4 linked regions of the Oreochromis niloticus genome follow. The protein of the gene in region 1 binds, or shares a complex with, the protein of each later gene. Links are inferred from orthologs where the notes say so. Each region holds a gene or a part of one and is shown in the gene's direction. Other genes may lie near its edges.

The links.
Region 2: ruvbl2 (region 1) and asdurf share a complex: the UniProt entries of both Homo sapiens proteins name them as parts of the PAQosome complex. The link is inferred for Oreochromis niloticus from reciprocal best matches to the Homo sapiens genes RUVBL2 and ASDURF.
Region 3: the proteins of ruvbl2 (region 1) and vps72a are in contact, whole or in part, in a cryo-EM structure (PDB 9CA9), measured with the Homo sapiens proteins. The link is inferred for Oreochromis niloticus from reciprocal best matches to the Homo sapiens genes RUVBL2 and VPS72. Residues at the interface, in NP_006657.1 of Homo sapiens: Glu141, Val142, Val143, Glu144, Ile145, Gln146, Ile147, Asp148, Arg149, Pro150, Ala151, Thr152, Val187, Gln188, Ala189, Gly190, Arg207, Phe209, Thr210, Arg211, Ala212, Asp214, Tyr215; in NP_005988.1 of Homo sapiens: Pro210, Ile211, Ile212, Thr213, Tyr214, His215, Ser216, Val217, Thr218, Arg260, Cys261, Ser262, Arg263, Thr264, Thr273, Glu276, Trp277.
Region 4: ruvbl2 (region 1) and ing3 share a complex: the UniProt entries of both Homo sapiens proteins name them as parts of the SWR1-like complex. The link is inferred for Oreochromis niloticus from reciprocal best matches to the Homo sapiens genes RUVBL2 and ING3.

The regions. Positions count from the first base shown.
Region 1 is NC_031975.2:1,309,777-1,316,834, reverse strand, and holds the start of ruvbl2 (ruvB-like 2), read left to right. Parts: upstream 1-4,050; 5' UTR 4,051-4,190; intron 4,191-4,634; exon of another isoform or gene 4,635-4,742; intron 4,743-4,939; coding exon 4,940-4,994; intron 4,995-5,131; coding exon 5,132-5,187; intron 5,188-5,304; coding exon 5,305-5,446; intron 5,447-5,621; coding exon 5,622-5,751; intron 5,752-5,835; coding exon 5,836-5,902; intron 5,903-6,919; coding exon 6,920-7,026; intron 7,027-7,058. Other genes in the region: ftr83 (finTRIM family, member 83), read left to right, coding at 112-180, 1,203-1,729. UniProt on the Homo sapiens protein: Possesses single-stranded DNA-stimulated ATPase and ATP-dependent DNA helicase (5' to 3') activity; hexamerization is thought to be critical for ATP hydrolysis and adjacent subunits in the ring-like structure contribute to the ATPase activity.
Region 2 is NC_031987.2:6,963,829-6,970,532, reverse strand, and holds asdurf (ASDURF protein), read left to right. Parts: upstream 1-4,483; 5' UTR 4,484-4,615; coding exon 4,616-4,690; intron 4,691-4,883; coding exon 4,884-4,937; intron 4,938-5,101; coding exon 5,102-5,177; intron 5,178-6,075; coding exon 6,076-6,116; 3' UTR 6,117-6,134; downstream 6,135-6,704. Other genes in the region: asnsd1 (asparagine synthetase domain-containing protein 1), read left to right, coding at 6,135-6,704.
Region 3 is NC_031985.2:19,712,451-19,719,924, reverse strand, and holds the start of vps72a (vacuolar protein sorting 72 homolog a), read left to right. Parts: upstream 1-4,472; 5' UTR 4,473-4,755; coding exon 4,756-4,872; intron 4,873-7,145; coding exon 7,146-7,298; intron 7,299-7,474. Other genes in the region: leucine-rich repeat and immunoglobulin-like domain-containing nogo receptor-interacting protein 1, read left to right, coding at 1,630-3,459. UniProt on the Homo sapiens protein: Deposition-and-exchange histone chaperone specific for H2AZ1, specifically chaperones H2AZ1 and deposits it into nucleosomes.
Region 4 is NC_031981.2:23,000,070-23,007,704, forward strand, and holds the start of ing3 (inhibitor of growth protein 3), read left to right. Parts: upstream 1-4,631; 5' UTR 4,632-4,763; coding exon 4,764-4,791; intron 4,792-4,932; coding exon 4,933-5,004; intron 5,005-7,188; coding exon 7,189-7,289; intron 7,290-7,364; coding exon 7,365-7,430; intron 7,431-7,635. Other genes in the region: tspan12 (tetraspanin-12), read right to left, coding at 976-1,041, 2,197-2,332, 2,515-2,597, 3,020-3,169. UniProt on the Homo sapiens protein: Component of the NuA4 histone acetyltransferase (HAT) complex which is involved in transcriptional activation of select genes principally by acetylation of nucleosomal histones H4 and H2A.

The DNA.
Region 1 (7,058 bases):
GTGTGAACAGGAACATTACCTCCTGCACACATATTAGCTGTTCAGCTGCAGCACATTAAAAAACTGCTGACACACAGCTCTGTCTGATTTTCTGTGTGTTTCCTCTCACAGGTGACGAAGCTCCCATGTACAAGTCTATGCCAGTCAAGGAGCCTCAGTACAGGGAGGACTTCCTGAGATGTGAGTCTCCTCTGATCCACACAGTTCACTGTTCTCGCTGCTCAGTTCACTGCATGACGCAAATTAGATGGGTTCTCTGTCAGACCCTGTGGCTGACCACTAAATCTGCTCTTAGAAGCTGCTGTTTGTCCTACAGTGTTGACAGAGGTTGGGACTGATTCACTGCAAATATTGCACAGCTATGTCATTTTTACTTAAGCTGCATTTTAACCTCCTGCAACCCGAGCTCTCGTTTGGGATGCATTTTTAATTTCTCCAAATTTTCTTGAAGCTGATTAGTTTAAAAAAAAGAAGCATCGCTTTTGAATAGAAAGGGTTTTTTTTAATATATAAATATATTAAAAAGTATGTCCTCAATAGAGAGACAGTGGGTTTGTTTTCCAGCATAACACAATATAGTTTTATGGTCATTATTAACAGAGTATTAAACATTTATTGAGTAAGATGAAGTGTAAGTCTAAATGTAATGTCCCCATATGAGGACACAGAGTCTCAGGAGGTTAATCCAGCTTTCAACAGAAATCGTTGGGGGCTCAAAATCTCAGCAGGGGAAAAACTGCACAGTCACTGACTCGCCTCACAGCTAAAAAAGGTCTTTGCTAGCTGGAATTCTGTTTGTGGTCAAACTCACAAACAGTGTTTGATACCTCTGGCATTCCAGATCATAGGCCGGGCAGATCTAGCCGAGGGCATCGGGTGTCTCACCAACTGTGACCTGCAGAGGTGGAGATACACAGCAGTCAGGTGACTATTCTGATTTCTGTGTCCAGCCAGAGGGTCTCTTGCTTTTTCTTCAAAGCGTGTTTTGCAGAAGCTAATTAAACTTCTACCGCAGTGAGTAGAAGTTTAACTGAGATGTTGATGACGTTCTGCTGCTGCATTGGAGTGGGGTGCTTCAGCTGCTGTAGGACAGATGCTTTGGCTTTCTTTGCTTTCCTCTTTTACATTTATCCCAGAGTGATTTAAGTTAAGCACTTCCTCTTGTTGAGTAAATAATGAACTTATCTTCCACCCATCTTTAGATGCTTGCCAGCTCACCCTTGACCAAAACACAGCCTACAGACAGCTTTACTTGTCACGAGGGAACAGAAAAGCTGCCCTCAAGAGAGACCCCCAGTCCTACCCTGACAGCCCTGCCAGGTTCGACTCCCTGCCCCAGGTCTTGTGTAAGGAGCCCCTCTCTGGAGGCACCTACTACTGGGAGGTAGACTGGAGTGGGGAGGGGGCTTCCATCGGCATCGCCTACAAAGGCATCAAGAGAACGGGCTACGGTGACAGCTGCCGCATCGGCTACAACCGCAAGTCATGGAGCCTTTTCTGCTCTGATTCCAGTTACTCAGCCCGCCACAACAAGGACCAGCAAGAGGTCAACGCGCCCTACTCCTCCCGCATCGGCGTTTTCCTGGATCACGCCGGGGGTACTCTCTCATTCTACACTGTTGGGGAAACCATGTCTCTAATCCACCGCTTTAAGGCCTCCTTTAGTGAACCTGTCTATCCAGGCTTCTGGGTTTGGTATGAGTCAGCCATTACCATTATCCAGCTGTGATTAAGTAACACATATCCAAAGATCAGTGGGTGTGGATGACGAGTACTGTTGTGAGAAAATATGCTTTTGTTCCCCCCCCCCTTTTTTTTCTAATATTAGATCGTTGTTTTGTTTGCTATCCAATATGTGCTGATGGGGGAAACGATGCTTGATGAGCAAATATTCAGCAAATCAACATGTGTTCAGTGTAAAATTAGTTGTAGAAAGTCAATGAGCATTTACTAATTCAGAAATAATATAGTATATGCATATTTACACTATAATTCAAAATAATGAACCTTGTACAATGTGATGACCATTTGTGATATTATGCTTTTTTTTATCAAATAAACTTTTGGTAACAAGCATGAGCTGTGATGTGGATTTTTTTTCTCTCATTTCTTCTATGATGACGAGCTTCCTAACTCACTCTTCAAGCTAATCAGCTCTAAGCCAGATCTGTAAGATCTTTAAAAGTCAGACATTTCCTGCCATTAGCAACATCACTCAGAGTGCAATTATTTCATAAGCAAATGTAAAATAGACCCAGCTTTGCGTGTGGACTAGTAGGAGATGGTGTGTTTGTGTGTGCTTAAAGCACAGTGTTTTGGAAAGCAGCTGAGAGGTCAGCAGGGAACTCTACAGGAACAGGCGAGGTGTAACTGAGAGGTTTCTGTGACGCTTAAGGCTCGTTATGCTGAATGGAAGTATGACTGAGTCCTAATGTATCGTCAAGTTCTTCATTAAAAAGTTCTGAGTTAGTGTAGCGACTCAGGAGCTGCAAAATTTACTACTTGAGTTCTACTTGATCAGCGTAGATGATAAAACTGCATCCAATCCGAGGTTTGCCCTTTTACCATGCAGCAGTCGCTCTGCTGTGATGTTTAAATAAAGCGACTTCAGTTTGTGGAATCTTAAGCCTGGGCCTTGAGGTGAAGCTTGAGCGGTCTAGTGGAGAGGATATGAAAACCCCTCCAGAAACCTTAAGATTATAATCAGCAGGCAAGCTTTCCCATTGTTCAATAATACTGCAGTCTTGATTTTTTAAGCTTTTAAAATTACTTTTTGCAAATATGAAGCTCAGCTTGAGACAAAGATGACAATAAAAATCTCAAACTCATCTCCATAGTTTGGATTATAATATTTCTCAGTTTAAAAAATGAGAGAGGCTTTTATGCACAATAAGATGAATGAAGCGGAGCCTGTAGAAAGTTGAGGTTGGTGGTAGCAAACGTTTATCCGGCTTGCTGCGGTCATCAATACCACTCTGCAAAAACTTTGGCTTCAAATTTGAAATTCTTAAACCTTTAATACAACTCGGGGGTCTTGCCACCTCTGGTGGACAAACGTCTGCAGTACCAAGTTTGAGCAGGTTTTTTTTTTTTATCGTGGCTGGTGACTGAAGTGAAAGCTTCCGCTGTTAACGTGTGCAAACAGTAACTAAAACAGTGCAAAATGCTTCCTTGGCTGGTCCAGCTTACGTACAGTATGACATTGACATTTCTACATTCTACATTATACCAGTAAATATTAAAGATTTCCACGGACGGGCTATTTTGTTGCGAGAAGAAAAGGTAAAATGTGAAAAGGGAGTTAAAGGGAGCCTAGCACACAGTTTAACCACTCTGGACTGAAACGGGCTTCACGGATTAAAATGTCCAAAATATAATCCAGGACACCGGTAAATCTCCAAAAGTTGAATCTGTTCATCTGGACGTAGCGTTTGGTGGGAGAAACGTTTCGTCACTCATCCAAGTGACTTCTTCAGTCTCAGCTGACTGCAGGTTTCCCCAAACCTTATCAACAGTACATTTGCATAATGACTGAAACCAGCCCACTGAAGGAACAATGGGCTGTGAGGTCAGTTCCTTAATCATAATTGTGCAAATTCCCATGACCATTGATCAACAATCACTGACCAGAACCCACTGATCAAAGAACACTGATCAATGGCCATGAGTACCATTCACAGAGAGTTGGGGAATGGCTGCAATCACAGCATTGTAAGATGGCCAGTGATTGTTGATCAATGGTCATGGGAATTTGCACAATTATGATTAAGGAACTGACCTCACAGCCCATTGTTCCTTTAGTGGGCTGGGTTCAGTCATTATGCAAATGTACTGTTTATAAGGTTTGGGGAAACCTGCAGTCAGCTGAGACTGAAGAAGTCACTTGGATGAGTGACGAAACTTTTCTCCCACCAAACGCTACGTCCAGATGAACAGATTCAACTTTTGGAGATTTACTTTCCTGGATGATTGAGAATGCATCAAGACACCGGTAAGGTTTCCTGCCACTCCCTGTAAGTCACAAGCTCGTGCTGTCATTTTACCATCGAGCCCATAGAGGGCAGTCAACCCAAACATCCCCTAGCAGGAAAAAGAAATAAAAGAAGCGGTTTCTGTACGGACGCTTTTAATCTGCGCACAATCAGAAAGAAGCGCCGCATTCTCACATTTTCGTAAGTGTGGCTGCACAGGTGAGTGTTCATGCGATCAATATAAACAGTGCTAACTCCAGGCTTTCACACTGTGGTGTTACAGGATGTGTCCTGTAAGATCATCCTTTCGTGTTCTGTTGAACATCGCGTCTTCGTCTTGCTAAGCAGGAGTTACTCAAAGAAGAAAGCTTTGAATGGAGCTAGCTAATTTGCTAACATAACATTAGCTGGTGTTAGCATTACTTGTCACTGTCCTTGCTCTGTTTACTTGGCGCCAAACTAGATTTGTGGCTTTGGTGTACCACGTTATTAAATCTGTGTAATGGCGATACCCGAGCTTTCCGTTGCTTATATGAAAAAGTGAAAATACGAAGAATAAAAAGCCTTAGAAACTAGGCTAACGTAATGCTAACACTGTTCTTACTCTGTTGTGGCATGCGCTCAACTCTGTCACTATGACAACCACCTGACCAGGACGGGCTCTTTAAAGTGTTAATTGTTTGACAATCTAATGTTGTGGTAGTCTTATCACCAAAGTGTTTTGTTTTTTAACATTTATTTAATGGTGACTGGGTTGTATGTCGTTAAAACGTCAGTAGAAATATTTGAACCTCTTGCTGGATCGAATATTTTTTTTATTTATCTATTGTTTGACATTCTGACATAGAGTGGGATACTCTGAATACTCTGTCTAATAATGCATGTTTTTAAATTTAAAAGTAGTGGTAGGAAAGCGGGCAGGATCACTTTATAGTGACTAATGAATGATTTCTCTGCTTTTAATACAGATGGCAACTACAAAGGTTCCAGAGGTTCGTGACATCACACGAATCGAGAGAATTGGTAGGACTGAGACCCGGAAACACATGATTGGTTACTGTGTGATAGTGCTGTGATAGGTGCACATGGTACCTGATTCTTGAGAGTTTTTTCACTTCCTGTGACTCACATTATTTTATCTGTTTTCACCTTGTGTTTAGGTGCACATTCTCACATTCGTGGCCTTGGTTTGGATGATGCTTTGGAGCCAAGACAGGTAGCTTTAATTCCCTTTTCCTCTCTTTCTTAAGGGGCATGTAATAGATTTGTGACTTAAATATTCTGTGTCTGTGTAGAGGAGATGTGCCTTTTACATGTCTATGTTCAATTCCAGGTGTCTCAGGGGATGGTTGGCCAGCTGGCCTCCCGTCGAGCTGCAGGAGTCATCTTGGAGATGATCAAAGATGGCCACATTGCTGGCAGGGCAGTACTGATTGCTGGCCAGCCTGGCACAGGAAAGACTGCAATTGCTATGGGTAAGAGCTCCACTGGAAGCTTTCCAGAACATAATATCAGCCCCAGTTAGAAGATATTGGTTTCTTGGATTGATGGAATTGGCTTAGGGTACATTTTTGTTGCTCCTAGCTTGATTGGCAGAGTGTAGGTTTGGCTGAGACTTTGTTTTTGATTTTGGGGGGTTTTCCAATGCAGGCATCGCCCAGTCTCTTGGCCCTGATACACCCTTTACAGCACTGGCTGGTAGTGAGATCTTCTCCCTGGAGATGAGCAAGACTGAGGCACTTAGCCAAGCTTTTAGAAAAGCCATCGGAGTAAGGATCAAGTGAGTGAGCAAATGCTGTAATAGGGTTTGGTAAATCTTCTTATACGAAAAGAACTGCTATTAACTGTTTTTGTTTTTTAACAGAGAGGAGACGGAGATCATTGAAGGAGAGGTGGTCGAGATCCAGATTGACAGACCAGCCACAGGAACAGTAAGCAGCTTACACTCATAATATAGTTAACCCAGTCTTTTTATGTGGTTCTTTGGAAAGTATTTTATTGGTCACACTAGGGTTGGGCGATATGTAAAAATTTTCCAACCGACAATCGTCAGTCCAATAATCGACGATGGGCGACATATTCGTGCATGCGCAGACTTTTTGATGGGCGGAGCAATGTAATCATGCACGGACTGATTTGCACGTTTACAACACAGAAGAAGTCCAAACATGGACGAACTAATTTCCCAAAAATTAGGGCTGTGGCGTTAACGCGGTCATCACGATTAACGCGATTAAAAATTTTAACACGCTGAACCCATCGGGAGCGCAGAATGAACGAACTTTGGACAAACTGCTCAAAATGTGTTGACAGAGACATTTCAGGGATTTTGACTCAGTCTGCGCACTGATGGGTTACTTGTTAATCGCGTTAGTCGTGACGATGGCGCATTAACGCTGACAGCACTAAAAAAATATAAAGTTGCCAATTTGGGATTTTTAAGCCAGATGAAAGCAGCAAACCTGAGGATGTAACCAAAGCGGTGTGCGCTTGTGCAGACGTATAGTGCGAGCAAAGTACTCAAACACGGCTAACTTGCATGAGCATGTACGTGTCCACCGTCCAGCTGAGTATGCTAGGCTATCAGCAGCTTCTGCAGCTACATCATCAAGCATCTGGGCGCACTCTGAGGAGGGGGCGTTTGCTCGCAGATGAAAGAGGGTGCCGTTATCTTTTTTCTGTTGACTGCTTCTATTAGCTCCATCATTCTTAGCAAACTTACTCATGGGCGGGCAAATAAATAAATAAATCACCCGTGTGAAAACGATCGCCGATGGGCCGATGGGCTCAGCCTGTTGTCAATAATCGATATTTTCATCCAGTCGCCCAACCCGAGTGTCACAGACAGTATAGATTTCACATGTAGTTAAATGAACATGTAAACACTGTTGTAGATATAAAACACTGTACTTCATATAACTTACTGAGAATTTTGTGCCTTGGATCAGGGTGCAAAGGTGGGCAAGTTGACGCTAAAGACTACAGAGATGGAGACGATCTATGACTTGGGCAACAAGATGATTGACAGTTTGAGTAAAGAGAAGGTGCAAGCTGGGTAAGTTCAGTAGGTGATCTTGTTACAGGACC
Region 2 (6,704 bases), on another chromosome or scaffold:
AAGTAGTATAAGCAGGAGATGGTCACTCATTTCCTGCTTATTTATAGGCATGAGAAACGTTTATTCAAGGCTGGATTTCCAAGAGGAATCAAAGAGCAGATGCCTGAGTTGGATCTGTCCAAAGGTCGCAAAACTGCTCCAAAGCACAATGCTACATTCAATGATACAGTTTAACCTGAGCAGAAATATAAAACCAGAAATTTACTGTGCATCTAAGATGTAATCTGGTTCATAACCTCTTTAAATCTAACATTTGAGTTGTCTGTGATTCAAAATGTTAATTCATGATTTTAAAAGTTGCTAACTAGAAGCAAGTTTTTTTTAACTTTCTGGAAGCTGTGTAATTTGTTATTAATCTTATCATCTTATCCTTGTTATTACGAGCACCTTCCACTTAGAAGAAATGTGAATAAGATATTAATTTACTGGGTTATCTGTGTCCTGCTTAGGATTATATAAATACAATGCTCTCAATGGACTTTCCACCTTTTTGGAACACACAATGGAAAAGTTAATAATAGATGAACGGTAGTGCTAAAATAATAAACATTACAATTTCCATTTCCTGAAAATGTGCTTACTTAGCATCTGATAAGAGGTTAAAGATGTTTATACATTTTTTTGCATGCTCCATTAAAACCACTGACACTGATCTTCTCGTTATGATCCAATGTTCTGCTGGGACACCTGACTCCCGGCTTTCATTTAGATATTACTTAGACAAGCACTGTCCACCTAAAATGTGTTGCAGACTAACTCTGCACTTGTATGGAAATAGTACCCGCTGCGAGTCTGTGGTCTCCTCCCACAGGACAATGTGTACTCCTGCACCTTAAAACAACTCGAGGAACATAACAAAGATGTCGTACCTACATGTGGCTCTTTTGTCCTTATACTGCGGCTCCGGGTGGTTTGGGAAAATAAATTAGAAGTTTTTAGCTGAAGTGTATTTTATTTGTGTTTAAATAAAGGTCTAAATTGGAAGATTATTGTGATATTGAAATATAAAAATAAAATTATATTTTATTATTTTTCATCGCTCAAAATAAGCGTCACACTCGCGGAAGCCGGTATACCCGCCGAAACGCCGTGCATTTATCGAGACTTTCAACCCCAGGTAGGCCAATTATGGATCTTCGGATCCACATTATGTCAGCAGCTATTCTCCACCGTGAACTATGTTAAAAACAAACACCGCTCACACCTCACAGACGACAGCTTAGTTCTGCTTAAAGATGAAAGTGACTTCGTACAGCCCCGATTTGCAGACGCTGTGCGCAGAGGTTCAGGAGCAGAAGTTCCATTGTAAACATACTACGGCAAACCCGCTGCTTTTCAGCATCTCTTTATTGACCACTTTTCACACACGGTTGCTGTACGCATACAGCCGGCTGCAGCTTTTCAGCTCACAGCCCGACAACACAAGAGCAGAGAGCACAGACTTTAAGGCTGCGAGGCGTGATTGCGGGTGCAGCTCAGGTGCGTCCGACTCCCATGCAGCGGCACTGCAGACCACGCCCCGCCACACACATTAACCAGATAAAATGCATATTTAGGCAGAATTTTGCAAATATCTATTTTTCATTTTTTAGCAGCATAGTGCTTTTTTTCCAATTATTTTTTAAAAGTCAGGTCAAGGCTCCAAAAGCCCAAAGGTGGTATAAGGGAGGCGGCTCACAACAGTTTTTGTTTGCTACATGGATCATTTTAGTTCAGCTGGGTGTCCTTCCTTTTGTTAAATTTCTTTAAGAGTTCAAAATGTGTTAATTACATAAATAAAATGTAATTTTCTCTGTAGCACTTCATGGATTTCATAAGGAACACACTTAAGCTGTTCACACAAAGCATAAAGGTAAAAAAAACAATATATACAGTGTTATCTTCATTTTAGATGTCAAAACGTATTTGCGGCTCCCAGTGTTTTCTTTTGCGTGGAAACCGGGTCCAAATGGCTCTTTGGGTGTTAAAGGTTGCAGACCCCTGAGATAGACCAAAACTGTTTTTTGTAGCAGGTTGTAAACTTGTTTATTTCTGCTGTAGAGTTGGGAGTCTATGCGACTTGACTAATTTGTTGAGGAAGTCTCAAGTGGCCACTAGAGGAACTACAGTTTTTGGCCCCAGAGCACCACCCAGCATTCCAGAAGACCCAAAGGGGATCCCCCTGAAGATGCCACCCCCCGGGAGGTCCTGTGTTTAAGAATACTTTGGTGGTTTTAATGTTGAGTTTTACCATGATAACTGGTAATTACTAACAAATCCACTAATTTACAGACACAAAGAGAATCAGTGCAGCTTCTTTTAGCCCAGGTTCCTTCCAGTGGAATAATCCAGCCCTAAATTTAACTCTTAATGTGTGATCCAAGCAGGTTGGAGGTTGGGTTATTTTAGGACGAAGCTCTGTGAATGCACATGAAAACAAATGCAGTGCATATGCACTCTGTGCTGTCTCATTGCATGAGGGAGCAAAACTGACAGCGACAGGTAACATAAGCACGTATTTTGAGCCAGGTGATGACAATAGGCGCTTCAGTTCCTTTGTGATCTTTTTCAGAGCGCTCAACCGTCTCAAAGCCTGCACACACTGAGCCGCTACAAACAGATTACCAGCTCCACTATTAGTGGGCCGCTGTGTCAGGTAGCTGTCATCAGCGGTCAGGCGGCTGCTCTGTCATTTTGTGGCCATGTGACCTGCAGGTACGTCTGTTCCTGAAGGGATTCCGGGATGTGCAACAACAAGCTCTGTTTACATCGGCTAAATTTGTACTCCCTGGATAAAAATATGAGGATGACCTGCCTCTTGTGGCCCAAAGTTGTCTCACATTTACCAGCCGCAGCTAAAGAAGGGATCCAGGTGCAAGATGGGAAATCTCTTATTCATCTATTCTTTATGCTTCTCCTCTTTTTTGTGCTCTGTTGCAATGAAGGTATTAAAGAACAGCTCAGTCATATTTCAATAAAGTCTGATAAAATCCGAATACCCGAGGCCTGGCTCTTGAGGTCTCAAGGTCACAACACCTGATACAGAAAGATGACCAACCATCTGAGTGACCAAAGAAACAATGGTCGTAATCACCGTTTTGGGAGCACAACAGGGCTGTGGTCAGTTTAGTTTTTGTGGATATAAGGCCAAAGAGTTTTATATGTGCCTGACAACTCCACCACAGAACAATAAACATCAAAGGTCACAGTCTGGCCGGCTGTGACAGCCTGCGGCCGCCGTTCCTAAAATGACAGCCCTCGCTTTCAGGGAATGAGACTGCAAACATCTGACAGCTGTTTCCGATCAATAAGGCATTGCAGCTGAGTGGGCAGTGAACCAACGTGAGGCTTCAGGCAGGTGTGTTTGTCAAGTTTAAAAGGTGCTTGACCAGCTGCAGGAGCAAGAAATCAGCACTGGTGTCACTGAGGGGGTTTCGTTTTTATCAGCAGTGGAGTTATGCATGAGCTCAGACTGTTACAGCAGCTTTTCACTGCTCTAAGGAAGATCGGCCCACTGCTTTGGTTTGATTTCAGATTGCACTGGAGACTCCTAATGGCTTTGATGGTCCATAACGACAGTAATAAATATTTGGCCCAAATGTCATTAGGATGAGTCTAGCTACCCCAGCAGAGCCACAGGTTCACCTTTATAGACCGAATGTCAGGTGTGCTGTGGCATCGAGCCCACCCGACATCTGCAGTAACCCAGAGCTTGTGATGTGTGATCTGCATATTTGGTAACTGAAGATGTCCAGATTAGACCCAAGTGTGTCTGCTGTGTGGGGCAGGTTGACATCTGTGGTTCTAATTGAGAGAAAAGTGACAGTCATACCTAGACCTCACTTTCCCCGGGCACATTCTCCAGCTTTTTTAGGGGGGTCTAAGCCTGCTGAGAGACATCATCGCTCCTTCATGACCTATTGAAGGGTTTCCTACCAGTAAAAAAAATGCCTAAAACACCTCACCTGGGAGGAATCCAGGAGGCATCCTGGACATACATCACCTGAACCACCTCAGTAGGCTCCAAATAAGGCTGACTTTGATAAAAGTCTAATGAAATGAACATCGATAGACAGCCATGTTTAAGTGAATAAAAGGACTTTGGCTTATTTTGAAACTCTGACTGGTCTTGGTGCACATTAAAATAATGTTAATTGGATAATGCTTCACGTTAAGTCCCCAAATAAATGCCAGGAGTTTCAGGCTGACTACCTTTGGTGGTTGAAGAAAGTCTTGGAAGCTTGTGGTGACCCATTGATGTATATGGTGCATCCAAGTGCATTGTGGGATGGCAAACATGGCATGAAGAAACATATAAAAAACATAAATAAATAAAAGAAGGAATCATATCATATTTAACTGGTTTGCTCTGGTAAAAAAAAAAAAAGAAAAGAAAAAGTTAAAAAAAAAATAGACCATGTACAAATTAATATCTGTATTTTTTGATACAGATGAATGATACAGTTGAATGGCTGTATTACCGCCCACCAGCAGGAGGCAGTAGAGTTCAAACTGTGTAAACCTTCAGCACCCGGAAAAGCTTCCTTCTGGTTAGACACATGAGTTTACTCTGAACCGGGTTCGATTTTATTAGTAAAATCTCTGGACAGTTTTTCCTACGTTTCTTCGCACTATCATGTCTTCAAAAGGCTGCAGCAGTGACGAGCAGTTTGAAGGACAGGCCGCAGTAAAAGAAGAGCTGAACAAGAAGGTAGCGTTAGCCCAAACATGCTAATATGGCTAATGTGGCTGTAACAGACCACAGGATGTCTCCCAAATACATAGGTTTTTGGTTATTTTCGTTATGTATAATTATTCTGCCGCTTCTGTTAGCTTTATGTGTCTTAACAGATTCAGATAGTGTAGTTTTTATCGGTGAAACTTTCCGTGTTGCCAATTTACAGATTAAAGAGCAGAAGGTGCTTGTGGACGAGCTCTGCAATCTGAAGAAAAACAGGGTGAGTGGAGGAAGTGGAAAAGTCTCAAAATTTATTAGATCACATCATTATCTGTGCAGTTATGATGGGAAACACGCAAATCACATCCCTATGTTGTCAGGCTGGTGCAGTCATGTGTTTTGAGAGTGTAAATGTGGGTTAATGCAGATTGTTTCCCCCCTCAGAAAGTCTACATCCAGCAGAGGAACAGTAACATCTTCTTCGTAGGAGACAGAAGTCAGACACTCACTTCCTGCAAAAGTAAGATGAGAGAAGTGTCTCTGGTTGAGAGGTGAAAACTTCCGTGTTGGAAGTAAAGATGAACAAAAATTCTAAAAAAATTTTTTAACTGAGAGTTTTTTTTCTGAAAAATGTGATACATCATGTGACAAACAGGGTAGATTCCAGATTAAGATGCAAAAAACAGATTTATCCCGCTTTGTTTATTTTTTAACATCCATCCATCCATCCATCCAATCGTTTTCTGCTGCTATCCAGGATAGTGGGAGACTGGGGGCAGTAATCTAAGCAGAGAAGGCCAGACCTCCCTTCCCTAAAGACCTCCACTTGCTAATTTGGAAGAAGACCAAGGTGTTTCCAGGCCAGCTGAGAGATGTGATCTCTCCAGTTTGTCCTGTATCTATCCCAGGGCTTCCTCTTATAAGGACATGCCCAGAACATCTCGTCCAGTCCAGAGTTGTTCTGATCAAAACTCCATTAGATTTTCAAGAATATGTCGATCAAACTTCAGGCGTCGTTATCAAGACAAGCTAAAGATTGAAAAGTCACCGGCATCACTGTGGGGGTGTTTCTGAGCCGCATTGTTTATTTTAGGTTTATGCATCAGAAACTGCTCAATAAAGGACTTTATTCAGACGTAGGTTTGAGAAATATTTGCAGTGAGGTAAAAACAAACACTGGAAATGTTGGAAAGTCTTGTTACTCTTGGTTGTGTCAGTGCCCGGCTGTTTTTCTGTTCTGTCTTTGCCGGCTTTTCCTGTATTTACTCATTTTGAATTTGATGCCAGTGAAGTTGGGAACGGGGTCCCCGTTTTTAAAAAAAAAAAAATTAAACACTCAGCAGCGTGTTTTATGCTATAATAGGACTGTAGTGAAGGCTCTTATGGCTTATGTAACTAGTGCATTGTTCTGTTTGCAGAGGAGCTCGATTATATGAAAAAGGAACTTCAGGATATCTGAGGCCACAGCAACGCCGCGATGTGTGGGATCTTCTGTGCGCTGAGTCTGGCGTCCGCTCACTCTCAGTGGAACCAAAGAGTTTATGAACATTTAAAAAGGAGAGGGCCCAATTCGAGCCGGGACCTCACCATCACAGACTCAGATCTCAGCTATCGCTGTTTATTCTCTGCTCACGTTCTTCACATGAGAGGTCTTCTCACTGCTCAGCCGCTTCAAGACAACGCTGGAAACATCCTGCTGTGGAATGGAGAGATTTTCAGTGGCCTGCCGGTGACGCCAGAGGAGAACGACACCGCGGTTGTAGCTCAGCGGCTATCATCCTGCAATGCCCCTTCAGAGATTCTCGCTGTCCTGTCTGCTATTCGTGGACCTTGGGGGTTTGTTTACTACCAGAAGGCAGGAGACTACCTGTGGTTTGGCCGAGATTTCTTTGGTAGGCGGAGCTTATTATGGACATTTGACGCAGAGGCCGGTGAACTGACTCTAACTTCTGTGGCTGCTCACACTTCTGGTCCCAAACAGTGCGTGTGGCAGGAAGTCCCGGTAGCTGGTGTGTTCAGGGTTAACCTCAAGGCGGCAGCAGAAGCT
Region 3 (7,474 bases), on another chromosome or scaffold:
GGATTCTGTTGAATGAACTGCAATATCAATTCACCGAGAAGTTAAAATCTTAATTTAATATCTTTATTTTGTCGTTGGTTGTTTACATTAGAGGGGAATGTGTTTTTTAAACTAATCCACAGTGTGGAGGTTTGTCGCTGAGCTTTGAGAACTGTAACAAAATAATGAGCTCAGATTTTCAACTCCCAGCCTCCCTCAGTGAATCGCTCAGGTGTCGAGGTTTCAGACGGATGATTTTGGAAAGTACTTCAGATGTGAATCTGGCCTAAATGTCACATCAGTGAGGATAAAGGAGAAAAATTATGAAACTGATGAATGAAAGGTATTATATGATCTGAAATTATTAACACTTAAAGTCAGTCAAAAGCACATTTCTCAATATTTCCAGGACTACAAATAAAGGAAACTCTATCAGAACACCTGAGGTCCTATAAGGTTTTTTTTTTCCTTAACTCTTGTGTGAAATAAACGACAAAATATCACCTTACAAGTCTGCAGGGGTACGAGCTGTTTCCATATACACCTCCTGTTTGTCAAGAACAAAAGGATCACATTATTAACTAGTGGGTTTAGTTACGAGCGAACAAACTTTTTCCACGTGTAATAAATTGTTCTTTTTCAATATACATTAAAGGTCTTTGTGTAATGTTATTATGGCTTGGATTTAAAATTATAAATCTATTTTTTTCACATTCATCTTTATTGGCTTATCTAGTCAAAATGCATGATCATGCAGGAGTGATAATTTTTCCCATAGAAGACCACAAATCGTATTAATTGTGTTCTCTTCATATTTGGGGGTGTGTGGGGGGGTGGTGGTGTCTAAAACGCTTAGACAAGCAAATTAATAAATAGAAAGAAAAGAAGACGTACGTATCGTGCCAAGTGCTTGGCAACCATATTGCCACATAACTGAGGATAAGTGGCTTCTTTCAGCATCGTGACTGAATCAAATAGTCACATTTGCTGTTTATCCTAATTAGAGCCATTTAGTTAATCTTCTAGAGAGGGAGCTGGAATGGAGATGAGCAACGAAAGAGCTGAATACCAAGTTTTATTAAAAAAAAACAACAAAAACCACACACACACACAACAAAAACACAAAAACTGTTGGAGCCCGCCCGACACTATACTTAATGTTGTGTAGGAACAACATTATTTCTTTTAGCCATGGAATTATGAGAGTGGGGAAGCTTTGTCTCCTTCCACTGAAGTGAGGCACTTTAATACTTTCCCTGTTGATGTAAATTCTTCTGGCACATAGAGCTCAAAGGAGGAGTTTGAGAGTTTTAGGGAGTAAATCAAAGAACGAGGATCAAATGAACATCTGCCACATTCATCGCTTGTGTTAAACAGGTTTTTGTAAATTAAAGTGTATTCTATGTAGAGTTTAAACTGAATTAAAGTCAGACTGGCATAAGATAAAGTGGATTTAACCCAATCAAGAGATCTCTGCCACCATCCATGTGACAAGTTGACATCCAATTCTTCTTTTCTCTATTCCTAACTGGCAGTGGTGATACAAAAATAATAATTTAAGATTAAAAAAATGTATACAGAAAGACCCATGACTCCTTTCACCTGTGATTCACTTTATCTATCCCCTCACTCGTACACACAGGTCACCAGATGTTCGAGAGGAGCGCCGTCCACCAACGGCTTTGCTGGGGAGCTCTCTACCTGCTGGCAGCAGGGGTGGCTTTGACATCTGAGACGCGTTGGCTGTGTCCGCCATCCTGCCACTGTAACGCTACGGCGCTGGAAGTGAACTGCTCTGGTGGCCAACTTACCAGAGTTCCTGATGGTCTCTCACAGGAAGCCAGGCTGCTAAACTTAACCCAAAACACACTCAAGACTTTGGTGCGTCAGCAGTTCCACACGCTGACACAGCTGTCGGACTTGGATTTAAGTGACAATCTTTTGGTAATAATTGAAGTGGAAGCCTTTCTTGGCTTGCAGAGTCTGAGAACTCTGCGCCTTTGTCGCAATCATCTGAAGATTATCCCAGTGGGAGCGTTTGCTGGCTTAACAAACCTCCAGTTACTGGACGTAAGCAGCAATCAGCTTCTTGTTTTCCTCGACTTTACTTTCAGTGAATTAAACGCCCTGCGGTTCATGAAAGCTGCAGATAATGACTTGGTTTATGTCTCTCATCAAGCTTTTACAGGACTAACCAGTCTGCAGGAGCTGCACCTTGATGGCTGCAACCTAACTGCTATGCCAGCAGAGGCGCTCACACAACTTAGCGTGCTGAGAAGCCTTAGTTTTCACCGACTGGGCCTCACTACGCTGCCAAACTACTCTTTCCGCCACCTAGTCCACCTAAAGGAACTTGTCATTTCTCATTGCCCCTGGCTGGAGAGTCTGTCAGGAAACAGTCTCTTTGGCTTAAACCTCACATCACTAACCATTAAACATGGCAACCTAAGTGCCTTTCCCTACATCCCTTTACATCACCTTGTATATCTCGTATACCTTGACCTTTCTTTTAACCCCATCACCTACATTCATGCAAACCTTCTTGGAGACTTGCTCCGGCTCCAAGAGTTACATCTTGTTGGGGGATCGCTGCTTAGGATTGAAATCGGAGCATTCAAGGGTTTGGCCCACTTCAGATTGCTGAATGCATCCAGAAACCATCTTACCACACTTGAGGTTGGAGCTTTTTATTCAGTGGACACCCTAAGAACTCTGGGGCTTGATAACAACCCACTGGCATGTGACTGCCGTTTGCTTTGGGTGGTGCAAAGGCGACTCTACATGGACTTTGGTGAAAGTCCGCCAACTTGCATTACCTCAGTCCAGCTGCAGGGCTGGAATTTTCTGGATTTCCCTGAGGCTGAGCTGCCGGATTTGCTCACCTGTCGGCCACCTCGAATTCTGAACCGCAAAGCTCAGGTGATGAAAGTAGATCAGGGACACACAGTGGTGTTTCACTGCAGTGCCGAAGGTGACCCTCTGCCATCTGTCAGATGGCTAAACCCACAGCTAAGATCTTTATCACCCATCGGCAGAGTACGAGCTCTGTCCAATGGCTCGCTGGAGGTTCGCTATGCTCAGCCTCAAGACAGTGGCAAGTATCTCTGCGTGGCATCAAACGCAGCGGGAAACGACAGCCTGCCCGTTAGCCTTCATGTCCAAACCTTTCCATCATCTTCTAAGAAACCATTTCGTCTTAAAGGTTGGTCTGCCTTTCCATCTGCTGCTCCAGGTGTGAATGGAAATCAGAAACTCCATTTTGATGTAAAGACGCTACTGATAGCAGCAACCATAGGGTTTCTCTCATTTTTCAGCTCTGTGAGTGTTTGTTTCATTTTCATGTTCTTCTGGAGTAAGGGCAAAGGTCAGATAAAACACACAGCCACGATCGCGTATGTGCCACGAAGCGCCATGTCGAGCAGTAATGGAGGGACAAGCAGCTATATGGAAACGGGGAGGTTTACCATGAAGCTGTTATGAGTCAATAAGCAAAGAATATATTCACCTGATATGAGTAGGTATCAGTGAATAAACTGCAAGATGCTTCAATTTATTTGTTTTTTGCTTGAATCTGATAATAATGAGCATGAAATCTTAATTAATAGTATTTTAAATTGCATTTAAGAAATGTGACCTGACAAACCATGATCATGTTTATCTTGAAACACAAAAAATAAGGAAATGAGGATAAAATAAATTAAAGAGTGAACTTAAAATAACAGTTACATTGGACTTCGGGTGGACTATTTGGACTGATGAGATATGGAGAATCTAACAATAGGGGTATTAACCTTATATTAAGGTTAATGTGCAGGTTATTGTGTAGCTTCTTTTCTGTAGCATGTTGTTTTTTCTTGATTAATTTCTGCACTGTTTATTATTTAATAAATGTGTGAAATGCAAGTTGGTTGTTTTTTTAAAAATTCTGCTATCCAAGAACTTGGAAAAATTAAAGTGATTATGCTTTCACAAATTTGGTGTACTTACTTAAAAATTTACAGCACTACAGCATCCAGTGAGGAGCAGCACACACAGCACTTGGTTTAATGCGTCTATATTTGAACTGCAAGGTTTAAAAAATCTCCATAAGCAGTTTTGTACTTACATTGTGGGCAAGTAGACCGTAATACTTAACTTACCTTCACCGGTGAGTGGAGCTGGCTGCAATAACTGACAACTAAAACGGTAAGGGGTGGATATAATTTTTAGTTCAGGCTAACAATAAACAAATATAATAAATAAATGCGTAATAAATAAATGACTTTAACAGTAGATAGAGACTGCTGAGTAGTGCAGTCATTATCGTGCTTACAAAAATTACAGAGTTGCCATGACAACGCATACGCACACATACCTCACAGTTTCCTGAAACAGTTATTCAATTTTTGAATAAAATATTTCCTAATAGAAGCTTCGCATTAACTGCGTAATTGATTATTTTTTTCCATGTCAAGCCAGACAACTAAAATAAACTGTTAGTCCGCCCGCTAGCCCGGAAGTAGATCAACAGTCCCGGATATGGTTGCTTGCTAAACGAGAGCTACCGGTCAGTTGTACATTTCATTTGTCAGTGTTTATCGCCTCTTATAAGAAAAATTATAAAGTATCCCTTGAATTTAAAAGGGTCTACAAATATGGGCACCTACATACAATTAAGCAAATATACTGAGTAACGACGAGGTCAAAGAGGTTCCCGCAAAACGATCTATATCTTTTAGCGTAACATAACGAGCTAAGTAGCTTAGCATTGATTAGCATAGTTTGGAAAGCACAATCATGAGCCTCGCAGTTGGCCGCGAACCCAGAAAGACTGCGGGAAACCGTATGTCCAAACTACTGGATGCTGAAGAAGAGGATGAGTTCTACAAGACCACTTACGGAGGGTTCAACGATGTGAGTAACCAAACTGATAAACACAGAGCGCGATAAAGAGTTAGCATTAGCCGGCTCCAGTGTTAATGACTAGAGCCTAAAAACAAAGTTTGTTCTGCGCGCAATACCTGAATTACCGCTTCTCGTTTTTAGGGAATTTGGTTCATGTCTATTTGCTGCCTGACAATGAAGCAAGCAGCCAACTCACTTTTATATTTATACATTTATATTATTTACAAATTAGTATAACGGAAGAATTTAGTTTCTGCCAGGCTACTGACCATGCACTAGTACAGGAGACATCTCTCACGATTTTGAGACTGACATGACTGGGAGTGGGTCTCACTGATATAAATCAGACTCTCACAGCATTACACGATCCAGACCTTTTAGACAAGCCAGCACGTCTTCACACGTTTATTTTAATATTAAATCCTAATGAGAGTATCATATATGGCAGGGCTGCTGCATTATACTTCAATACTTTTAAAGAGTTTGTCAGGAAACTCTTGACTAAAGGGTTATGTGCATGTAAACAGCAATTTTAAAAGCTATTCTAGTTTTATCAGGTTCTTGCTAGGGCAGATCAATTAAATGTATTTATTTATTTATTTTTATTAATTTGTTGGGGTTTATTGGATTTTGTATAAATCCAATAAAATAAATTAATTAATTAATTTAGCAGTAAAAAATAAATTTAGCAGTCCATCACTGAAAGCACTTACTTCCTCTCTACTAGGCTGAGGCTGTGGTTCAAAAGTGAATTAACTCTCACTGGTAATTGGGGAGTCATGTTTGATTGTGATTTTTAACAGTAACCATTCCTGCCATCATTTCCGTAGTGATGTTGAAAAACAATCTCATCAGATTTTGGATTTTGACAAGAGAGAAAACTGAGCTGAGTGTGAAAGCGAAGCTGTCGATTTTACCAGTCGATCTGTGTTCCTACCCTCGCTATGACCACGAGCTGTGGGCAAGAACGAGATTGCAAATGCAAGCGTCAGAAATCAGTTTCCTCCAAATGGTGTCTGGGCTTTAGAGAAAGAATGAGGAGTTCAGTGATTTCAGTATAGCGTCTACTTTACATATCAGAAGGAGCCGGTTGGGGTGGGTCAAGAATTGGATTATGATGCCTCCTAGGGGAGGTGTTTCGAGTGTGTATTAGCAGGAGGTGGCCCTGGAGCAGACCCGGTAGAGGGAGGTCTGGGGCTTCTCTACTAACACTGCTGCGCCTATTACCTGGACCTGGATTAGCAGCACAAAATGGAAAGATAAATGGAGAAAGCTCGTCATTAGGCTGGGGTTCTCAGATCTGAGAGTACAGTTTTGGAACTATAAGAGAAATGAGGTGAATTAAAAGGACACATCTAAAAATGAGTGTGTCTTGCCACTGTTCATTCGAAATGGTGACCATGGCTTAGTTTAGAGTTGGCCTTACAATTATAGTTTGAACACCAGCTGTAAACAGAGCCTAGATGATGCCAGCTTTTCCCGCTTCACGCTTGAAGAGAGAAGAAAGTTGTGTGATATTGTTTGTCAGAACATTTGATGCTGTAGCAATCTCACACGTTATGGCTTGCTTTTGAAGATGCTAATTTGTTTCCTCAATTTACAGTGTGGCTAATTTTCTTCAAACAGCTGCTGGTTCAGGGGCCACCTTGTGTAGGGGGATTTGGCACCGGCAGCTCTGGCAGTTCTGACAAGAGTGGCTTCATAAAAAAATCACAAACAGATCCTGAGATGCCTCAGTCATCTCTGCTGGGACTTTGATAAAGCACTGTGAACGTGCCTGTGTGTGCACACGCATCCTTTATCTGTGCAGTTTTCAGGGATATTTTTGTCTTGTGCTGCTTTCTAAATCTTTCCTGTCATTGGATGTTGGGTTTCAAAATGACCCACATTTGTTTTAATAAATTTGAAAATTCACATTGTTAGTGCGCATAATGCATTTGTGTTATTTTATTTATCTTTGCACCTGGTTTGGGCTTAAGGCTTGAGTTTGAGTTTTGCTTGAGTTTTGTGATGTAGCTTTGACAATGAGGGAAAACATCTTTAATAAAAATAAATAACCTGTTTATTATTAAATCTCTTAATGGGATGTGACTTTGAATACATTGCTACACACTTGCCAGATAGAAATGTGTGAGATTTTAATCAATAGGCCTGAAAACTACACTTAGAAAAAATGCAGGGGAAATTTGGTGTTTGCTGTTATGTCTCAGATTACTTGCAGATGGTTTGTTCTGTTGTTCTTTTCCTGATTTTATTTATTGCTCCTTTTTTTTGTCTTTCAGGAATCGGGAGATGATGAGTATCACGGAGAACATTCAGATACAGAGGACGAAGTTGACAGTGACTTCGACATCGATGAAGGTGACGAGCCGGACAGTGACCAGGAGGAGGACGCACCTCGGAGGAAAAGCCGGGTTGTCACCAAAGCTTACAAGGTACTGCAGGACCAATCAAACTTTGAGTTAAGCTGAATTCAATTGCCCTAATACCATGTGTCATCATGTATCACTTTGCTGCGGATTTGAAACACAAAGATGGAAACTATTTGGTTTTCCCTTAAAAAAAGAAAAAGGAAAAGTACTATTTAGCACCTTTCTTTTAATCCCTGTGT
Region 4 (7,635 bases), on another chromosome or scaffold:
TCCTCCTCTGTACTGCAAGAATTCCAGCCACTTTCCACACAACAAACCCAAAACACACTACAGTGAGCCTGAGGCCTCACACACTCAGAACTTCAGGTTTTTACTGCAACCCCCCAAACAGGGACCAACCTGAGGTCCATGTGTGAGTGTCTGCTCGACTGATAAAGAAAAAAAAAACTTCACTACGATACCCACAACCCCCTGCAGGCAGCTGATCCAGAGATAAAAGATGAGCCTGAGGTCAGAGTTCAAAGGCTGGCTCAAACTGTTGTGCTTCAAAGACAGCATTCAAAATGAAACTTTATAAACAACAAACTAAAGAACATATTCTGTCACCCCTAAAATCTGATTGAGCCAATCAGATTTTTTCTTTAGTTTGTTGTTTATAAAGTTTGAAGATCACCTGAAACTTTGAGAACTTTGAGAAATCAGCAGGAAAAGCTCAGGCTGTAAGCAACGAGTCAGGAAGCGCTGCTCAAGGCTCTCTGAGCTCTCCCAGAGGAGCAAGCCTTCAATATTTATTTTGTTATCGTTAGCGTGAGTCTGACACTCACTGACCTACGAACTACTGCAGGTAATGTACCCTGCAGTACTGGAGTAGATGTATTAAAGTACTTTGCAGGTGGGTGTGAGGTGACGGGCGTGTCGTGACAGCGCTGAAAGAGGAGCCGGATAAGTCTGAGATTCCTGATTATTATTAGAGACAAGCCGGGAGTCCAGCCGGTGCATGAGGCGAGAAATGATCCGTTTAGGACAGAAACACTTGCATGTGTGCGACACCACCATAACTCCGTACTGACAAACTTGTTGCCATGACGATCAGTCAGTGAGAAAAAGCTGCAGAATTTCACATGAACAGAGGCTCAGTTATGAAACATGATTATAATTTTACCTGCTCTGATGGTTTGTTGGTTAAACACATTCACGTCTGACTACATGACACGTTCAGGGACTCAAAGCTTTCAATGTTCTCACCTCCTCGTAGGTCCACACAGCACTGGCCAGCTCCACACAGAAGATCACCAACAGACTGCCGAAGTACTGAAACACAGGCGGAGACGAGTTTAGTCTGATAATCAACCTAAAACCTTTCTGTCAGAAAGCCGTGAAGCCGACGTCGTCCCCTCCCTCAGTGACAGCCCCGAGGCGTCTGCAGCTCTAAACTCTGAGCAGCACAGTAATGTGTGATGTCTGAAGCTGGTTTTATCTCCTTGTCCACCTGAATAACCTACTCACTCACAAACATGAGTGACATCTACTGTTATGTAATCTCACAACTAACTGAGGTGTGTGTGTTGGAACTGGCTGAGCGGGTTCCCATCATGCCCTGGGGTAGTCCCTGTAGCAGACTGAAGCTCCTCTCAGCAGCTCATCTTTCGGAGACAATCTTATCACCTGTTGGGAACAATGGGGCACCCAACACCTGGCCCTGCCCAATCAGAGCACAGCAAACAGGTGGTGTAGTTCAAACACACAGTTGGGTGGACAGTGTGACCTCTGTGAGCTCTACCTGAGAGTCCAGAGTGGGCTGTGTGTGACATCATACACCTGCACACCTGCTGACAGTGGTGGACTCTGGACTGAGCTCAATCCTCCCATATGCAGGTGTGTGAGGCGGGTGGAGCGTGTGGAGGTAGAGGCTGACCTCTTCACCTTGTTTAGCAGCTGGTGAGCAGATGATGCTCTGATAGGCTGCAGCAGAACCAATTGATAAGAGCTCAGTCTACCTGAGGAGTGTGTCATTATGATGAAGCTTAGGTGAGTCTGCCTCAGTGCTCATAGGGCTTCAGGTTCAGAGACATCAGCTCCAGGTTTCTGATGTTCCCACTTCACTGTGTACGCAAAATGCCAACCCCATCACAGGAAGGCGGGAGCCGCGGGCGCTTGTGTCATGACATCAGTCTCAGTGTAGACCTGTCACAGCTAACACACTGATCAACAGTCATGCAAACATACAGGTAACACACTGACCAACAGTCAGAGCAGCTAACAATGTTTCCTCTGCTGGCTGATTCACAACAGAGACTTCATCTGTGCTTTTCCCAATGTGTCAGACCACTCAGAGACTGTTTCCTGCTCAATGCCAGCTGAATCCAGGACGTGGACTTCCTGCTTCTGATTGTAAAATCTGAGATAAATGTCGTCTTTGGTTAAAGTAAAGATCCTGTCTGAAGTGTCTGATGTGAGCATTCGTACCCAGGAGAGCAGCAGCAGGTCACACCTGAGCGTGCCGCAGTACCCCACCATTGCCACGATGATGAGAAAGCAGCACACGGCAACAATGACGGGGTGAACAGCTGGAGAGTACGTGAGGACGGCAGCTTCCTCCAACCTGCATATACACACACACACATGAATTAGCCTCCATGCTCTGAGCTTCACAAAAGCAGCTGTTTAGTTCACATCTGGATCATCTATCAGAGACAAGGTGTGTCAGATAAAGCTGATTAAAACTTTCAGGTGCTGTCACCTGGTTGGCTCTCATACCTGAGCTGCAAGCCCGGCCAGACTCACCTGGTGTGGGCCGTCAGGGTGAGAACGGTGTTGAGAGAGTCACGGATCCACGCCGCCACTCCCAGCACACATGCTGACATCAGCTGGACACACAGAAATAAACACATGGATATGTTTCTGCTGCCTATAATAACATCTGAGAATGTGAAGCAGGCAGCGAGGAACACCCGGCCTGCTTCACCCCAGCACTGCCTGTCCCTGTACACAGAACTACCACTAAACAGTACTCTCTACACAGAATTACCACTAAACACAGTATTCTGTACACAGAATTACCACTAAACACAGTACTATGTACACAGAATTACCACTAAACACAGCACTCTGTACACAGAACTACCACTAAACACAGTACTCCAGACAAAGAACTACTACTAGACACACAGTACTTTATGCACAGAACTGCCACTAAACACAGTACCTACAGTTACTACAGTAAAATACTGCATTGTTTGACTGCTTTAGTATAATGACTCTAACACACTGATCATTAAAGGGCAATTACACTCTTGTAGTCGTGCGCGTGCCCGCTCCTCTCACCCAGAACAGCAGGTTGAGCGCGTACAGCAGGCAGCGCAGACACCTCACTGCGTCCTCGCGAGCCATCCCGACCGGAGCTCCTCCGCGTGCCGCTCATCTGAGCCCGGGGCACCATGGCAACATGCTCGCTGCACTCACACAGCACGGAGCGCTCAGGAACTGCGCGTGCTCCGTGCGTGAAACCCGCATTCCGTCCCCGCGCGCCCTGGCCCGCTCGGTGACCAGCAGCAGGTGGTCCTCACTGCGCACGCTCCGAACCGGTCACCGCTGTCCGCACACCTCCGCACAGATCCAGACTGTCACAAAATACACGGACACACACACACACACACACACACACACAGAGCTCCGGCAGTCTGCTGCGTAACAATCCGAACCGTCCGCTCCTCTGCTCCTCCTGCTGCTCCTTCTTCACTAATTAAAGCAGCAGCAGCTCCGCCTCCTCCCTCACAGCGTCCGGGGGGAGGACAGAGGAATGTGTCCGCCTCCAGCCGCACAGCCGTGGGGTCAGCAGGCCGAGATTGAGAGGATGAAGCTGCAGGAAACACACAGCGCTTGGAGTGTTTGTCCACATAGTTCTGGTCATAAACTCTTTGCAGCAGCACTTTTTGTCCCGAAATTATGTGGACACTTATTTTAGGCTACCTTGTAATTATTTTCCACATACTTTCTGACTATTTGCACATATATTATTGTGTTACACACGGGACTGCCGGACACTGAACATAAAGACGTAGAAAGAAAAATGTATGACAAAAGTATGTGGACATAAACTTCCACGGAAATACAGTAAGACATATCGTTTGTGTCTACATAATTTTGGCCATTTAGGCTGCCTGTTTGTTTTTCTGCTCACACTTGTGATCAAAATTATGTGAATGCATGTGATTGGCTATCTAAATGGTAAATGGATGGTTCTTATAACACTAATCTAAAACAATATATATACCCAAAAGTATATAGACTAACATGTACACTCATTTTAAAGTTATTAAAATCAATGATAAGAACTTATAATTAATATATGATCATTAAAATAGAATCGCTGCTCGGTTCATGAATAATTATAGTCACATGAAGTGGGATATGTTTAATTAACAGCCGAACATGTGTGAAAACACAAGCGAATGTGGACAGAAGTTACCATACAGCTTATACTGTTTGTCCACATACTTTAAATGTGTTAAATTAGTACCACAACGCACAAATCTAATATTTAATACATGAACAAACATATCTGAACAGAAATGGTGGTGAGATGGATATATTCTTACTATCTCTTTAGTTGTTTCTGTCCACATATTTTTGTAGAAAAGTAAATATAATTTTCAGCTGGTCATTAATGCAATTTTTCAGGTAAAAAAATGTCCCAAAGCTTTGTGTAAATGTGCAGTCGAAATGAAATATTTTACAAGGCTTGAGAAAAACAACCCTCTTGCTTTTTATTTGCAAATAAATAAATAAATAAAGGATTACTGTACTGCCTAAAAGACGTAAATAAATGTAAATACAAATACAATTCCCATGATGCATCTGTCCTGTCAACGCCTGCCTGTATTTGAACCAATCAGAGCGCAGGCAGACGTTTGCGTCAGCATCCATGACCTCCTTTTTTCTGGGTATTTTTTCTGGGCAGACGTTGGCAGGCGGCGCCATATTGAAAGCAGAGAATTGTCGGAGAAAACGGCTGAAAGCTTAAATTAAACACGATGCTGTACCTGGAGGACTACCTGGAGAGTGAGTATGGGACTGCAACGAAGCGGCGGCGGTGTGACAGGGCTCTGCTGCGCGTTAAATATGTGTTATTTACCGGCTAGGTCGGCTCCGGCAGTTAGCCTAGCCGTGCTAGCAGGTAACCGCCTTTTCTTCTCCTGGCAGTGATCGAGCAGCTACCCATGGATCTCCGCGACAGGTTTACGGAAATGAGGGAGATGGACCTGCAGGTTCAGAGTACGTACAACCCCGCCGCCAACGGCGCCACACACCGGCCACACCACACCGGGGACACGCGTGCTGCGGAATGCACACATAGTGGCAGCCCTGCTGGGACTGTCCAAGCAACAGAGTCGCGTCCCGGCGCCGATGAACGCCCGAGCTGCGCTTACTTAATTAGCACATGTTAGCACAGGCGGCTAACGGGCTGAAACCCAGTAGATACCAGCATGAGACTGCAGCACAGCATCCACCTGCAGGGTCACATTCACCTACCTACAGGGACCCCTCCCCTTTAACACTGCCGATCCGAAAGTTCACATTCATGCACATGAAAAGTAAAGTTGCTAATAAAGCAACTTTAAAATGATTATCGCTGTTAGACGCTCACATGAGGTCCTGATCATCATTTTAACACTTTATAAATAAAAAAAATAATCAGTTATATTTGGTCTAAACTGAGATTATTTAACAGGATTTCTGTAAATATTTGGGGGGGGGTTAAGTTTAAATTTAAAAAAAAAAAGGTTTTAGTAAAATATGTTTTGGTAAATTAAGTTGCTGAACAAAATTAATTTTGAACTGAAATTTAAAATGAAGGATTATTAAAATAGTAATCATTTCCTCTAAAATATTTTGTTTCAATCACTGACACAAATTTAATTGGACTTAGACTTAGATAAATTAAACCACTTTCTAAACGTTTGTGTGTGCAGCCAGAAAAAAAAGAACAATGTTGTAACAGTGTTATAAACGCGACTCTGAAAGGTGTAATAATAAATCAGTGTTAGGGATACTCTGAATGAGCCTGTGCTGGGCGCTAGTGCTGTGTGATACTGCAGATTTCAGTATTGATCCAATACCAAATAAATACAGGTCCAGTATTGCTGGACACTTTGCTGTCATTTTTCTATCTGTTTAAACCTCAGGATATTAACCCTTTAAGACCTACCATAAAACCAAGTCTGCCAGAGCTTATCTTCATATTTTTAGATGCTGTAGTGCCATTTTTTGTGAGTATTTCAAGTTGCTATAGTAACTACATGAATTGCAAAAAAGTGCAATAAACTACAAAAGAATGTACAATTGTTTTTGTTTTTTTGTTGTTGTTTTTTTACACATATTTCTAGTTAGAGAAATTTCAGGGGTATATCCCTCAAAACTGTAAATGCAAAAAAGTTGCACAAAATAGTTTCCAACCACAGGAAATTTATTTTGAGTGTATTCATAGTTTTATTTTTGACATACACAAATTTTTATATACTGTAGGAAAAACAAAAGTAAATATTGTAATGCAAATTTGCAAAAAACAGCATGTGCATCAACATAAACTATTTCCAGCAGTGTAATTTGAGTTCTAAGCATCCCAGAAACTGTACAGAAAGCCATAAACATGAATTTTAAAACCACCAGCATATCTTTGTAAATGCCCTATAGGAAAAAAAAACTACATTTTCCGCGAAGATGATGCCACTTCTGGTTTCAGGTAGGTAATGGCGGATGCGCTCATCGTAATTAGCAAAGCGTGTTTCTGGAATACTATGGTTTTGTTGCTGCAAATGCTTTTTACACAATTTTTTTCATTTTCATTAGAGCATAATTCTGCTCTTATATTAGATCCTGGTGGTTTTCAGGTTATTTATTGGTCTTTAGGATCAGCAGACTGAGCTGTGTGAAGTTGTCAGCCTCGGTCCGTGGGCGTTTTCAGTTGGTCTTAAAAATGCACAGACTCTATATAACTTTAAAGTGATGATGAAACCACTTCAGTTTTAATCACATTGGTTCAGAGACACAGATCTGTGACATAACAGGAGCACTCACTGAGTGAGAGCTGGAGAAATAAAGTTAAAATCAAACTTTATTTATACTGCACCATTGAAGCAGGTCAGGTCAGAGAGCATATCCAATCAGTAATCAACAAAATCTGACAAATATTATCCACACATGGCACACTCACTGCTGCAGGTTTCAGCTGGCAGGAAACACTCAGAAACAAATCACATGAGGGAGTGTGGGCCAGGTGAGTCCTCAGCTCTGATTTCATTACAGCTACAGTCCAAAGGTGATCTCCAGGCTCAGAATAAGTCTGCAGTTCACCAGAGAGGAAACACCTGAGGGAGGGCCGCACTCAGACTTTACACACGTGATGTTAAAATGCTGAGTGCTGCATTTTCTCACGTTGTTTCCTGTTTGTTCCTTCAGATGCCACGGATCAGCTGGAGCAGAAGGTCATTGAGTTCTTTGTAAACGCCAAGAAGAACAAACCAGAGTGGAGGGAGGAGCAGATGGAGGTCATTAAAAAGGTCAGAGGTGGCGGATTCTTCTTGTTTCTGTGCGTGTGTGTGTGGATCTTGGGTTAAACCTGCGTGTGTTCTTAGGATTACTACAAAGCTCTGGAAGATGCAGATGAGAAAGTCCAGCTGGCCAATCAGATCTATGACCTGGTGAGTAAAGGTTTCCTTCAGGTGTCACTCAGGTGATCACAGAATGGTAAAGGTGCACATTTAGGCTTAAACGGCTTTAACATGTAGAAATCTGAGGAACCCTCAGTTATTCCACACAGCCGCCACTAGATGGCAGAAAGAGCCTTGAAGAGCCACTAAAAAACCACAAGGAGTTACTTATCCTGCAGTCTGAGAGCATTGTCAC